Linked DNA regions of Macaca fascicularis. The protein of the gene in region 2 purifies or fractionates together with the protein of the main gene of each other region. This does not show direct contact. Links are inferred from orthologs where the notes say so. Each region holds a gene or a part of one and is shown on either strand. Other genes may lie near its edges. The genes, in order: EZH2, NUMA1 and EPB41L3.

Evidence for each region.
Region 1: the proteins of NUMA1 (region 2) and EZH2 purify together in Homo sapiens (affinity purification with mass spectrometry; 3 studies listed by BioGRID and IntAct, with this or other methods). This does not show direct contact. The link is inferred for Macaca fascicularis from reciprocal best matches to the Homo sapiens genes NUMA1 and EZH2.
Region 3: the proteins of NUMA1 (region 2) and EPB41L3 purify together in Homo sapiens (affinity purification with mass spectrometry; 3 studies listed by BioGRID and IntAct, with this or other methods). This does not show direct contact. The link is inferred for Macaca fascicularis from reciprocal best matches to the Homo sapiens genes NUMA1 and EPB41L3.

The regions. Positions count from the first base shown.
Region 1 is NC_088377.1:190,537,201-190,540,944, forward strand, and holds the start of EZH2 (histone-lysine N-methyltransferase EZH2), read right to left. Parts: upstream 2,492-3,744; 5' UTR 2,286-2,491; coding exon 2,215-2,285; intron 1,739-2,214; exon of another isoform or gene 1,606-1,738; intron 1,443-1,605; exon of another isoform or gene 1,307-1,442; intron 1-1,306. UniProt on the Homo sapiens protein: Polycomb group (PcG) protein. Catalytic subunit of the PRC2/EED-EZH2 complex, which methylates 'Lys-9' (H3K9me) and 'Lys-27' (H3K27me) of histone H3, leading to transcriptional repression of the affected target gene.
Region 2 is NC_088388.1:70,766,675-70,770,318, reverse strand, and holds part of NUMA1 (nuclear mitotic apparatus protein 1), read left to right. Parts: intron 1-170; coding exon 171-239; intron 240-1,622; coding exon 1,623-1,742; intron 1,743-1,824; coding exon 1,825-2,043; intron 2,044-2,164; coding exon 2,165-2,322; intron 2,323-3,612; coding exon 3,613-3,644. UniProt on the Homo sapiens protein: Microtubule (MT)-binding protein that plays a role in the formation and maintenance of the spindle poles and the alignement and the segregation of chromosomes during mitotic cell division.
Region 3 is NC_088392.1:74,037,330-74,040,990, forward strand, and holds the start of EPB41L3 (band 4.1-like protein 3), read right to left. Parts: upstream 2,919-3,661; 5' UTR 2,834-2,918; intron 2,345-2,833; exon of another isoform or gene 2,242-2,344; intron 1-2,241. UniProt on the Homo sapiens protein: Tumor suppressor that inhibits cell proliferation and promotes apoptosis. Modulates the activity of protein arginine N-methyltransferases, including PRMT3 and PRMT5.

The DNA.
Region 1 (3,744 bases), on a different chromosome or scaffold from region 2:
TTAACTGTGGACAGCACACGTTAAATTTCTTAGGCAACAAACATTTCTGCATCCAGTCTTTTCTGAATCACCAAAGCTATTGTTCACAGAAAACGAGACCAATTACTAAGAAACTGCTAACCATAGAATCTAAACACACATTTGTCATAGCCATTCTATTTTGATCACCTACTTCTACCACCTCATCCTCATTCAACCCGTCGGGATTTGGGAAATAATCTCTGGCTGAATGACAGTTGATTTCGTTAGCACCTGTCGCCATTCTCAGATGTATCACACAAGTTGGCCAAAACAGCTTGTAATGTTTAAGGATTACGATTCTTTAGAAAGTGGGAACTCACTAGGCGTTCACCAAGTTTTCCAAAAGATCGTGCTTCTCGATTCCTCCCGCTTTCAAAAAGTAACCCTGTGGCACAGATTTTTGGGGGCAGTGGAAGGGGATGTACACAATGAAGTGGGAATTCAACAGGAAGCCCTCCAAAAACACAATCAATAGAGAGCAGAACAGCTCGACTCTTCCCTCAAACTTAGCATAAAGCCAGACCAGGCGGCGAGGCAGCCCGCGACCGCCGGAGCTCAGGGGGATTTCGGGGTGCGTCCTGGGGAAACGTCAGAGGCGAAGCTACTCCGAGTTCCACGCCGCGAACGTCGTCCCGCGGTCGCCGCGGCCCCAGCCCGGGGTCAGCGCGCCCGGGATGGGGGCGTGCGCGGGGCTGGGGCCGAGCCCTGCCCACCCCGGCAGCGGCCCGCGCCTCCCCACGCCCCTCTCCCGCCCGCCGGCGGGCCCGGGTGTCATGCCCCTTCCCCTCGCGCCGAGACCTCCGGAGACACAGTCCGTCCTTTGTCTGAGTGCAGACTCGGCGGCTGGGTCCCACCAACTTGTGTCTGTCCCGTCCCACCCGGGCGCTCCCGCCGCGGCCGCGCCACACAAAGGAGACTTGAGGCTCGAGCTGCCACCCTGGACCGGGCACCGGAACGCCCCGACCCCGGCCCCGGCGCCCCGGCCAGGGCAGGCACCGGGAAAGCTGCCCCCCACACGCCCCCCGCCCCGCAGCTCCGGGGGTCCGCGCTGCCCCACTCGTAGGCTCCCGCTGGCCAGCCCTAAGCTCACAGCTCCTTCCGGGGAGGGGGGTCTCCCCTCACCCTCCACCCCCCGCACGCCTACAAACGCGGCGCCCGGGTGAGCCCCGTTTAGGCGATACCCGGGACCGGCACAGCAGCGGCGGGGAGGTCCTGCCGCCGCCGCCGCCGCCCGCTTCGCACTCCTGGAGCCCCACCGGCCGGGCCGCCCGCAGCGGCGCGTTACCTTCGTCCCGCGCGCCGGCTCGCGCTGTTCCCGCGCGTCGCCCCCGCGCGCCGCCGCCGCCGCCGCCGCCGCCGGGGCTCCACTGCCTTCTGTGTCCCACCGGGTGTCGGACGCGACCGGACCGAGCGCCAAACGCGGCAGTCCAATCGCCATCGCTTTTATTTGGCCCCCCCAACCCAATCAAGCACCGCCCCGATTGGCGGGACGCTAGGCGGGCGCCCGTCCAATCACAGGGCCCGCCGGGCTCGGAGGCGCCGAGCCAGCCCCACGCAGAGTGCGCTCAGGGCTCGCGGGCGGGCGGTGGTGGCGCGTGCGCGCGCGGGCGGTGGCGGGGCTCGCTTGAAGCGACGCGACTGGCCTTGTGGAAGCGCTGCCGCCGTCTCTTTGTTCTTTCGCTGAACACACGGCGCCTCTCAGGAAGGCGGTGTGCAGGCAGGCGGGGACCGGGAGACATCGCGGGGGCCCGGAGCCCACCGCGAACGGGAGGCGGGGAGGATGGGTGGCGGGAACGGGCCGAAGGGCGGGACGACGCGCCGGCTGCTCTTGGCGGGAACCGGCGCCGCGGAGTTCCCGGGCGGGGGAGGGGAGGGGAGGGGAGGGGCGAGGCGGGGACTGGAAGCCAAGTTTGAACCAGTTCAAAACTCGGGGGTGGTAACGGTTTTAACCGCCGCGCTCGTTTCCCCGCGCGCGGTGCCGAGGCCCGAGCTGGCCTCTCCTGGCGGTGCCCAGGGAGGGGAGGGCACGGGCCCCGGAGGTCGGCTCTGCTGCGGCGCGGCCTTTGCGGGGAGACGCTCGCCCGGCCCGCGCGCTGCCGCCGGCCCCGTTACTTCTTTTTTTTTTTTTCCCTCTGAGACGGAGTTTCGCTCTTGTTGCCCAGGCTGGAGTGCAATGGCGCGATCTCAACTCACCGCCACCTCCGCCTTCCGTGTTCAAGAGATTCTCCTGCCTCAGCCTCCCGGGTAGCGGGGATTACAAGCATGCGCCACTACGCCCGGCAATTTTGTATTTTTAGTAGAGACGGGGTTTCTCCGTGTTGGTCAGGCTGGTCTCGAACTCCCGACTGCAGGTGATCCGCCCGCCTCGGCCTCCCGAAGTGCTGGGATTACAGGCGTGAGCCACAGCGCCCGGCCCGGGTCCCGTTGATGTTGCCTGCTGCTGCCTCGGCCACTTCCCGCCCCGCCCCCCGCCCCCCGCCTCCACCGCTGGACTTTGGCTGAGCTCGCAGTGCTTATCGCCCTAGAAACCTGTGAAAGGGTGACATTACTGCCATTTCAGACCCTTCCAGTGTTTGTAGTGCCAAGCAAGTGTCAGTGTTAAAAATCGTTTATTAAGATGAGCGCTGTTCACTTGCCGCCTCTGCAAAGTGTAAGGATATTTGCAATATTTTTTAGTGATTAAACAATGATCTTAGTTATGGGGGGGTCAACCTGCCTCAACTCAGGAATTAGGGGGCTTCTGCTTAGGATACAATCTCTCCTATTGCTTCATGTGACAATGCAGTTAAGAGTATCCCGAATTTATTTTTACTAGGATGTACCTATGGGGTAAAATACCATTGTCCTGTAAACTGAGATTCCATATTGATAGTTCAGACTGGACACTGAAAAAAGGCCACCTATGATGTTGGGGTAAAAATCTGAAGAAATCTTTTTAATGATTTTAATAACTAGCTAGAATTTTAATTTTTATTTTTCTTTTTTTTTTTTTTTTTTTTGAGATGGTCTCACACTGTCGCCCAGGCTGGAGTGCAGCAGCGCCATCTCGGCTCACTGCAAGTTCCGCCTCCCGGGTTCACACCATTCTGCCTCAGCCTCCCAGGGTAGCTGGGACCACAGGTGCCCGCCACCACGCCCGGCTAATTTTTTGTGTTTTTAGTAGAGACGGGGTTTCACCATGTTAGCCAGGGTGGTCTCGATTTCCTGACCTTGTGATCCACGCGTCTCAGCCTCCCAAAGTGCTGGGATTACAGGCGTGAGCCACCGCGCCGGGCCATAATTTTTCATCAGGTGATTTAGCCCATAATTTTCCCGCCTTTCCTAAATCACCATTCCATTCCTCACATATATTCTGAACCACGCCAATGTTGGAAAGTATATATGAAGGGAAGCTAAAAGATAAGGAGAAACAAGCAATCATGTGCTCAGATAAAAGCAAAATTATCTTGTGAATCAATGATAAGACTGCAAAAAGTAAGTTATGCAACTGAGATGTGACTGTAAAATAACGTAACGAATTATAGCTGTCATTACTTACAGTCACCAATACATTCATTTTCCAAGATAAAATGCATCTATCTAGGCCAGCAGTTTGCAATTTTTTAAAACCAGCAACTTAAACCTCAGAAATTAACTACTTATCCCTAAGTTGCTTATCAAATTACTGAACTTATCAGTCCTATAATATTAAATAGTAAAACGACATTTTTTAAGAGGAAGATC
Region 2 (3,644 bases):
AGCAGCCTGGGCAGCAGGCTGTTCCCTAATTGGAGGCCAGAGAAAGGGCCTGAGTTTATTCTAGGAATACTGGGGATCCTGGTCTGGGCCACCCCATGATGGGTAGACATCTGGGATGAACATCCAGGGGAAGTCCTCCTGAGTCTTCTGTCCTCCTCTTCCCTCCCCAGGTGGAAGAACTGAGGAAGAAACTGGCTGACTCTGACCAAGCCAGCAAAGTGCAGCAGCAGAAGCTGAAGGTGGGGCAGCTGGGGGAACGGGTCTGGCCTCTGGACAGGGGAGGAAAGCTGTTCTCTAAGCTCTCGGGCCGTGGGGGTGTGGGGGCAGAGGAGGGGCACCCTGTGTTCCAGGCAGCCCTCCTAGGAAGCCTGTGGCTTAGAAGCCCCTGCGTGTGTCTTCTGGGAGCTCTCAAGAGACAACCAGGGTGGTTCCCATCTCTCAACTGTCTCCACTACAGCAGCTACTAGTCATGTGTGGTTATTGAAATTTATTAAAGTAAATCCAGTTCTTCAATCACACTAGCTACATTGTGTCCCTGCTCAGTAGCTACATGTGGTTAGTGGCTGCTGCATTGGACAGCACAGATACAGAACTTTCCACCGTTGCATAAAGTTCTGTTGAACCATGTAAGTCCAGATAGTCTGGGCAGGGAAAGAACGAGTGTCACCAGTGTTGAATATTACAATGCAGTTTAATAACATTCTTAATGATTCCAACTGTGTCACCTTCTTTGGTTTAATACTTGCTTTCTGCAGTTCTAGGCTGCACAGCCTTTAGTCAGGGGCAAAGGAATTGGACATCAGTGGTATTGGGACTCACTAAAGCCCTGGTGGGTCCTAGGAGTTGGTGGGAGCTCAGAGCTTCATTTCATACCATGGTGCCACAGCATGTCTTGATTGCAATAAACAAATGTTTATTCTGCTCCTTGTGGGGCCTGTCCTGTGTTAGGAGAGGCAAAGGTGGGATGTTTCTGTACAGTATCTACCGCAGAGTACTTGCTGGCCTTGCAGATGGACAGAGAATCAGGCCCTGTTCTTAAGGAGTTATAGTCTGGACAGGAGGCAGTGTGGGCATCATAAATAAGCCCCCACGGGCTTTTGGAGTTTAGTGGACCAAGTCTTACTCTGCCATTTAGTCATTGTTGCTATGGTCAATTTGCTTAAATCTTTGAACTCAGTTTCCTCCTCTGAAAAGGGGATGAAGTGACTTCTCAGAGTGGCTTTGAGGAGAAACAAGTTCCCCTGTCCTCAGAGAGCTCACATGCCAAGTGCCTCACTCCAGGCTCCGCACCTGGGTGTTCCTCGAGGATCGGTTCCCTTCCTCCTAGGGGAGATTGTGTGTGCATGCAAAGAGGGTGAGACAGTTTGTGTCCTATCTCAAAGAAGGCAAAGATAGGGCAGGAGCTGGTCAGGGAAAGGCCACTATGGATGTGGACTGAAGGGCATGTGGACTTCAGGTTCAGTAGGCTGTAGTCGGGTGGAGTGTATCTGGGGTGGTGTGGTTTTCTTCCTCTTCCTAAGTGCAGGAGTCTGAAGCACCTCTTGAGCCCCAGTGGCTGATGCAGATGAGTGGACTTGGGTAGAGGGGCCAGACCAGCTTTCCTGAGTGGACTTTCTTCTCAGGCTGTCCAGGCTCAGGGCGGTGAGAGCCAGCAGGAGGCCCAGCGCCTCCAGGCCCGGCTGAATGAACTGCAAGCCCAGTTGAGCCAGAAGGAGCAGGCAGCTGAGCACTATAAGCTGCAGGTAAGGAGCCCAGCCCCAGCCCATGCTACCTTCTTCCTGCCCTCCAGCCTCTGCCCCACCCACCCATCCTCTCTGCCCACAGATGGAGAAAGCCAAAACTCATTATGATGCCAAGAAGCAGCAGAACCAAGAGCTGCAGGAGCAGCTGCAGAGCCTGGAGCACCTGCAGAAGGAAAACAAAGAGCTGCGAGCTGAAGCCGAACGGCTGGGCCATGAGCTACAGCAGGCTGGGCTGAAGACCAAGGAGGCTGAACAGACATGCCGCCACCTTACTGCCCAGGTGCGCAGCCTGGAGGCACAGGTAAGAATTTGGCTGGCAGACTCACCTCACCCCTATCCCACTGGACCCCTGTGCCCTCTCCTCCTAGGCCACTGATGCCTTAGGTTTTTCTTCACTCTCCCCCTGGCCCTCTCCTTCTCAGGTTGCCCACGCAGACCAGCAGCTTCGAGACCTGGGCAAATTCCAGGTGGCAACTGATGCTTTAAAGAGCCGTGAGCCCCAGGCTAAGCCCCAGCTGGACTTGAGTATTGACAGCCTGGATCTGAGCTGCGAGGAGGGGACCCCACTCAGTATCACTAGGTCAGGAGGCACTCTTCCTCCCTATGTCTGTTGTTTATGGAGTACCCGCTGTTTATCAGGCTGTATCCTGGTGAGATAAATAAGATGTGATCCAAATTTATTCTTAGAGAAGAATAAAGAAAAACAGGTATTATACCAGATGTCTGTTTAGGGCACAGTTGGAATAAAAAGCAAGCGGTCAAGAAAGGCTTCATGGAAGCTATCGCTCCTGCTGAGTCTTGAAAGCATCCATAGGTGTGTGTGCCAGGTTGACAGAGAAGAGCAGTGTGAACAGAGGCTGTGAAAGAGCCTGACTAGGCTGAGATGCAAGGCCAGGAAGGCCCAAGATCCTAGAGGGCCATCTGGACTCCCCGTTGGAGACCGGCTATTAAGACTTGATCCTAAAGGCATTGAGGAAACCTTGGTGGCTATAATTGAAAGGTTTAAGGGAAAAAAAAAAAAGGAACCTTGGAAGAATTTGAAACTGAAGAGTACATGGTTAATTTCCATCTTAAAAAGATGATTCTAATAGCCAATATAGAAGTTAAGACTGGAAATACATATTGTTTTTATTAAACACTTACATTGTACTTATTTTGTGCTAGACATAAAGCACTCATAACAATTATACCTGATTTATCCCCCAACAACCCTCTGAGGTAGGTTTATTCTGTCTCCTTTAACAGATGAATCTGGGGCATAGAGGGGTAGTCATTTGCCCAAGGTCCCCCAGTGGTAGAGCTGGGGTTTGACCCTGTGCAGCCTGGCCTGAGTCCTTGCTTGTCACCACTCATCTGCCTCTGTGAGTGCCATGATGAGTCTAGGTGAGAGGAGATGAGACAAACCAGGAAAAGGACATAAGCATGGAGAGGGTATGGTTAGGAGAGCTGTTGAGGAAGCTTGGTGATTGGGCTTCCCAAGCAGGACAACATAGAATTATGCCCATGTTCATGGTTTGGGGGCCTGAGTGGCAGGTGCTCGTATTCACTGAAATGGGAGATGAAGGAGGAAGAACAGAGAAGTGGGCTTAGATTGGGACGTGTTTGCTGTGGAGCAGCCGTGGGCATCTGGTGAGGATGGGACATCTGGGTCTGGGCATTGCCACTATGAGGAGGTATTAGGAGAAGCCAGGGGAGTGGACTGAAGGGAAGGCCCAGGTCAAGGGCTTTCCTTGGTACCTCTGAAAATTCAGAGACATGGGTTGCTTGACCTCATCTGCTTATAGTATGGAAAATGGTCACTTTGGAAAAGGGCTGGACAAAATGCCTTCTAGCCCAAAAGACTGTACCTCAGCAGGTTTCCTTTCCATAGCAAGCTGCCTCGTACCCAGCCAGACGGCACCA
Region 3 (3,661 bases), on a different chromosome or scaffold from region 2:
AAACAAAAAAACAAAAACTAGCCAGGCGTGGTGGTGATCGCCTGTAATCCCAGCTACTCGGGAGGCCGAGGCAAGAGAATTGCTTGAACCCACCAGGAGTCAGAGGTTGCAGTGAGCCGAGACTGCACCATTGCACTCCAGCCTGGGCGACACAGTGGGACTCCATCTCAAAAAAAAAAAAAAAAAAGTCCCTCTCTTCATTATATATAGTCAAATTCTCACAGAAAGAAAACATTTATTCCTCAGTCTACTCTTGGAGTTCTACTTTACTGCAGAGGACATGAATTCTAGTTTGTGAATTTTAGGGAAAGCACTAACTTAAAAGATGAATGCACATCATACAACATGGAAGAAAATACTTTTACAGTATTTTACAGAAAACACTTTTTACAGCAAGTTCCTGCCACACTTAATCTAATATACCATGTAAGTCCAGAAAAGATTCACAAGTAACAGCAACACATCTCTCAGTGCATGGATAGTGGCATCTCTTCTACCTAGGTGGCCCCTTAATGCATCTGACCAACCAGTTCTTAAAAAACAATTATAAATAAAATTGCATCCGATCAAGTTTAAAAATATCCTGATCTTTTTATTTCAACACAAAGTTGGCCAAAGTCCAAGCACTGTATAAGAATTGATGAAAAATTGCTTTTAACCTAAATCACATTCAAGCAGAAGAAATGTCTTAAAAATTAAATGTAAATATCTCACTGAGACACTGACATTTGATCTATAGCTCCCAAATCCTTCACCTAAAAGGGGTTTACAAATTAAAGTGGCTACTCTTCTTGTTATGGATGAATTATTCACAAAACATGATCTGTTTTGAAAAACTTATTTTGGCTAAAGTGTATTAACTAAATAAACTTGATGCAGTGTTGTGCATCTAATAGTTTACTTTTCTAAACTACCAGAAAACCATAATGCAAATGAGATAGTATTAAGCATTCAGCTATCAATGCCTTGCAAATTAACAAATTGAAGTCACGCTTCTCCAATTTAGTATTTATTCCCTCTCACATTAATTTTGTTACTCCAACTAAAGTTTTTAAAGTTTGATACCAAAATTAACATGCATTTTTTAAACACTCTCTCTGAGCCAAGACAGAAATCACCTCTCAGTCCCCAGAGTTCACTGGAGCTTGATGTGCTGCTCTCTTTTCTTAATAGGGCTTTTCTGCTTAATTTGCTGTAATTGGGACTACGTCCATGGCTCACAGACATCAAGTGGAATTTTACCATTTTTGTTTCCTTGAGACTTTAAAAATCAGGGTGAATTTCAAAAATAATGTTTTTAAGCACTTCGTGTGACGCTTCCTGTACTACAGAAGTTAATGCTATCAAAAGAAACTCCAGCACACCTGGCCACCTCAGAGAGCTTAAAATTCCCATTGCAACCCCCGCCCCCCAACAAAAAGGACAGGCAGGATATCTGCAAAAGCAATTCCGCAAGACTAATGTAAAAAAGCTGAAACAACTTAAACACGCAATGGAAGCACTGCATTAGCAGGACTGCCGGGCCCTCGCAGGACCTCCCAGCCCAACCTCCACAAGTAATTAATACCACATGTTTCCTTTATCATTCTATTTGTTCTGTTCCGCAATAATCTCTACCAACTTTAACCCTGGGCTGCAACTAAAGGAAAAACCCTAGGAAACTTCAGATCCGTAATATAGAAAGAAAATTGAGAAGAATACTCTCATTGCAAGGGACCACAGTTACAATTTACTAGGTAACCACACCCACCGCATTGCAGAAGCCATGAACTTCGCGGGCGTGGGGGGGGTGGGGGAGAAGGGGAAGAAGTCGGGCGAGATTAGAGGCGAAACCCGAAAAAGCAAGCCCCTGCGGCAGCAACCAGGAAACACCCGCCAGGAACTGGCTGACACCCCAGCTCCAGCGGTCCGAAGCCCCAGCCTCCCCACCCCCACCGCTGCAGAGCCGCCTTCGCAGACACCTCCCAAGGCGAATCGCAGCCCGGAGGGCGCCAGGTGAGTCGCGCCGCCCCAAGCCCCCGGGCCACGACAGGCCGACCCAGGCGCCCCCGGCCCGCCCCCGGGTGCCAGAGGCGAGGGGCCCCTGCAGGTGCCCAGGCCCAGGGCAACCCCGCTTGGACGCTCCCTCCTCCTCCCCCACCGGCCGGGGGCCGCTGCCCCAGTTCGGGGAACGAGGCAAGTTATATAAAAGCGGCCGGCCCCGCTGCCCAGCGGGGATGCTTTGTGCGGAGCGCACCTTACCGGCCCCGCGCCGCGCCCGCCCGCGCCTGCACCCGGGACGAGCCCGCAGCCGCCGCGCACTGAGCGCACGGCCCCTCCCGCGGCCCGCCAGCCGCCAGCCGCCACCCGCCCGGGCGGCGCCGCAGTGTCGCCCCCTGTCCCTCGCACCTCCCCGGGGGAGGGGCCGGCCCGCGCTCGCCCCCAGTCCGAGGGGCAACTTAAAACATGGCGCCCCGGGCGGGGGATTTGCGAAAATTGGCGGAGAAGGGACGCGGGGACCGAGTTGCCCCATCGGCCAGGGATCCCAGGGAGGCCCCCAGGCCGGAGGCCGGGACTCAGGCTCTGCGCGCCGGCCCAGCCACTGCTGCAGCGCGGCGGGTGGAGCGGGCGGGGGGCGCGGCGCACAGGCTCGGCCCGCCGAGGGTCCCGGCGAGCGGGAGGGCGGTTGGGGACCCCAGGCGCGGGGCTCGGGATTCGGGAGACCGCGCGGCGCCGGAGCCACGCGTCAGCCCCACAGCCCGTGCGCCTCGCCCCAGGCCTCGGGCTCTTCCTCCGCACCTCGTAAAGCCGAGACCCCCTCGCAGTCCCCCACTCCGGGAGGCGGAAAAGTTACCTGGGATCAGCGGATAGCCCAGGCGCGCCGCGGCGTGGGGACCAGGCTCGGGCGCGCGTCCTCGGCGGCGGTGCGCAGGAGACTCGGGCGTGGGGAGGAAGCCGCAGCCCAGGGCTGCTCGCCGCGGCTCCCCCCGCCCCCTGTTGCAGGAGACACCGAGGCTCCGCGGAGCTGCGGCGGGGGCCCACGCCCAGAGACCGCGCAAGGAAAGCCAACCTCGTCCTGCCTGCCCTCCCAGCCGCGGGGGAGGGGGCCAGCGCAGTACTTCAGGACAGTTACATGGGCACAACCTCCTCCTTCCTGGCGCAGGGTCAGGCTCCGCGGACGACGCCTGGAGACAGCTGCCAATGCCAATAGCTTTAGCCCTTGATTTCCACTTAGATGATGGCCTGGCCTCTCCAGCCCCCTCTCCCCTCCCAGACATCCCCTGTGAGAAAGGAGGGAGGGGGTGTTCCTGACCTTCAGGTGAGTTATTTATTGGCTAGGGACTGCAGTATTTTTTTTTTTTCTTTTTGGAAAGAAAATAAAAATCAAGTTGGTGGTGTTTTGAAGTCATGTTAATAGAGAAGATCTGAATTAATGGTTGATAAGAGAAGTCGCCCATCTTTCAGCAACTCAGCTACTCCGTCCTCTCCAGTACCTATAAAGCTTTCCACTGAAATGGAGCGGAGGGGGCTCCCTGATTTGTAAGTGAAATAAGTAACTCCTGGTCGTCTCACAATATCTTAAGATCTGACCGAGTAACTAAGACATTTAAGAAATGTTTTTATGGGCACAAAAAGAATAGAGTGAATAAGACATAGTATTTAATAGCACAACAGGGTGACT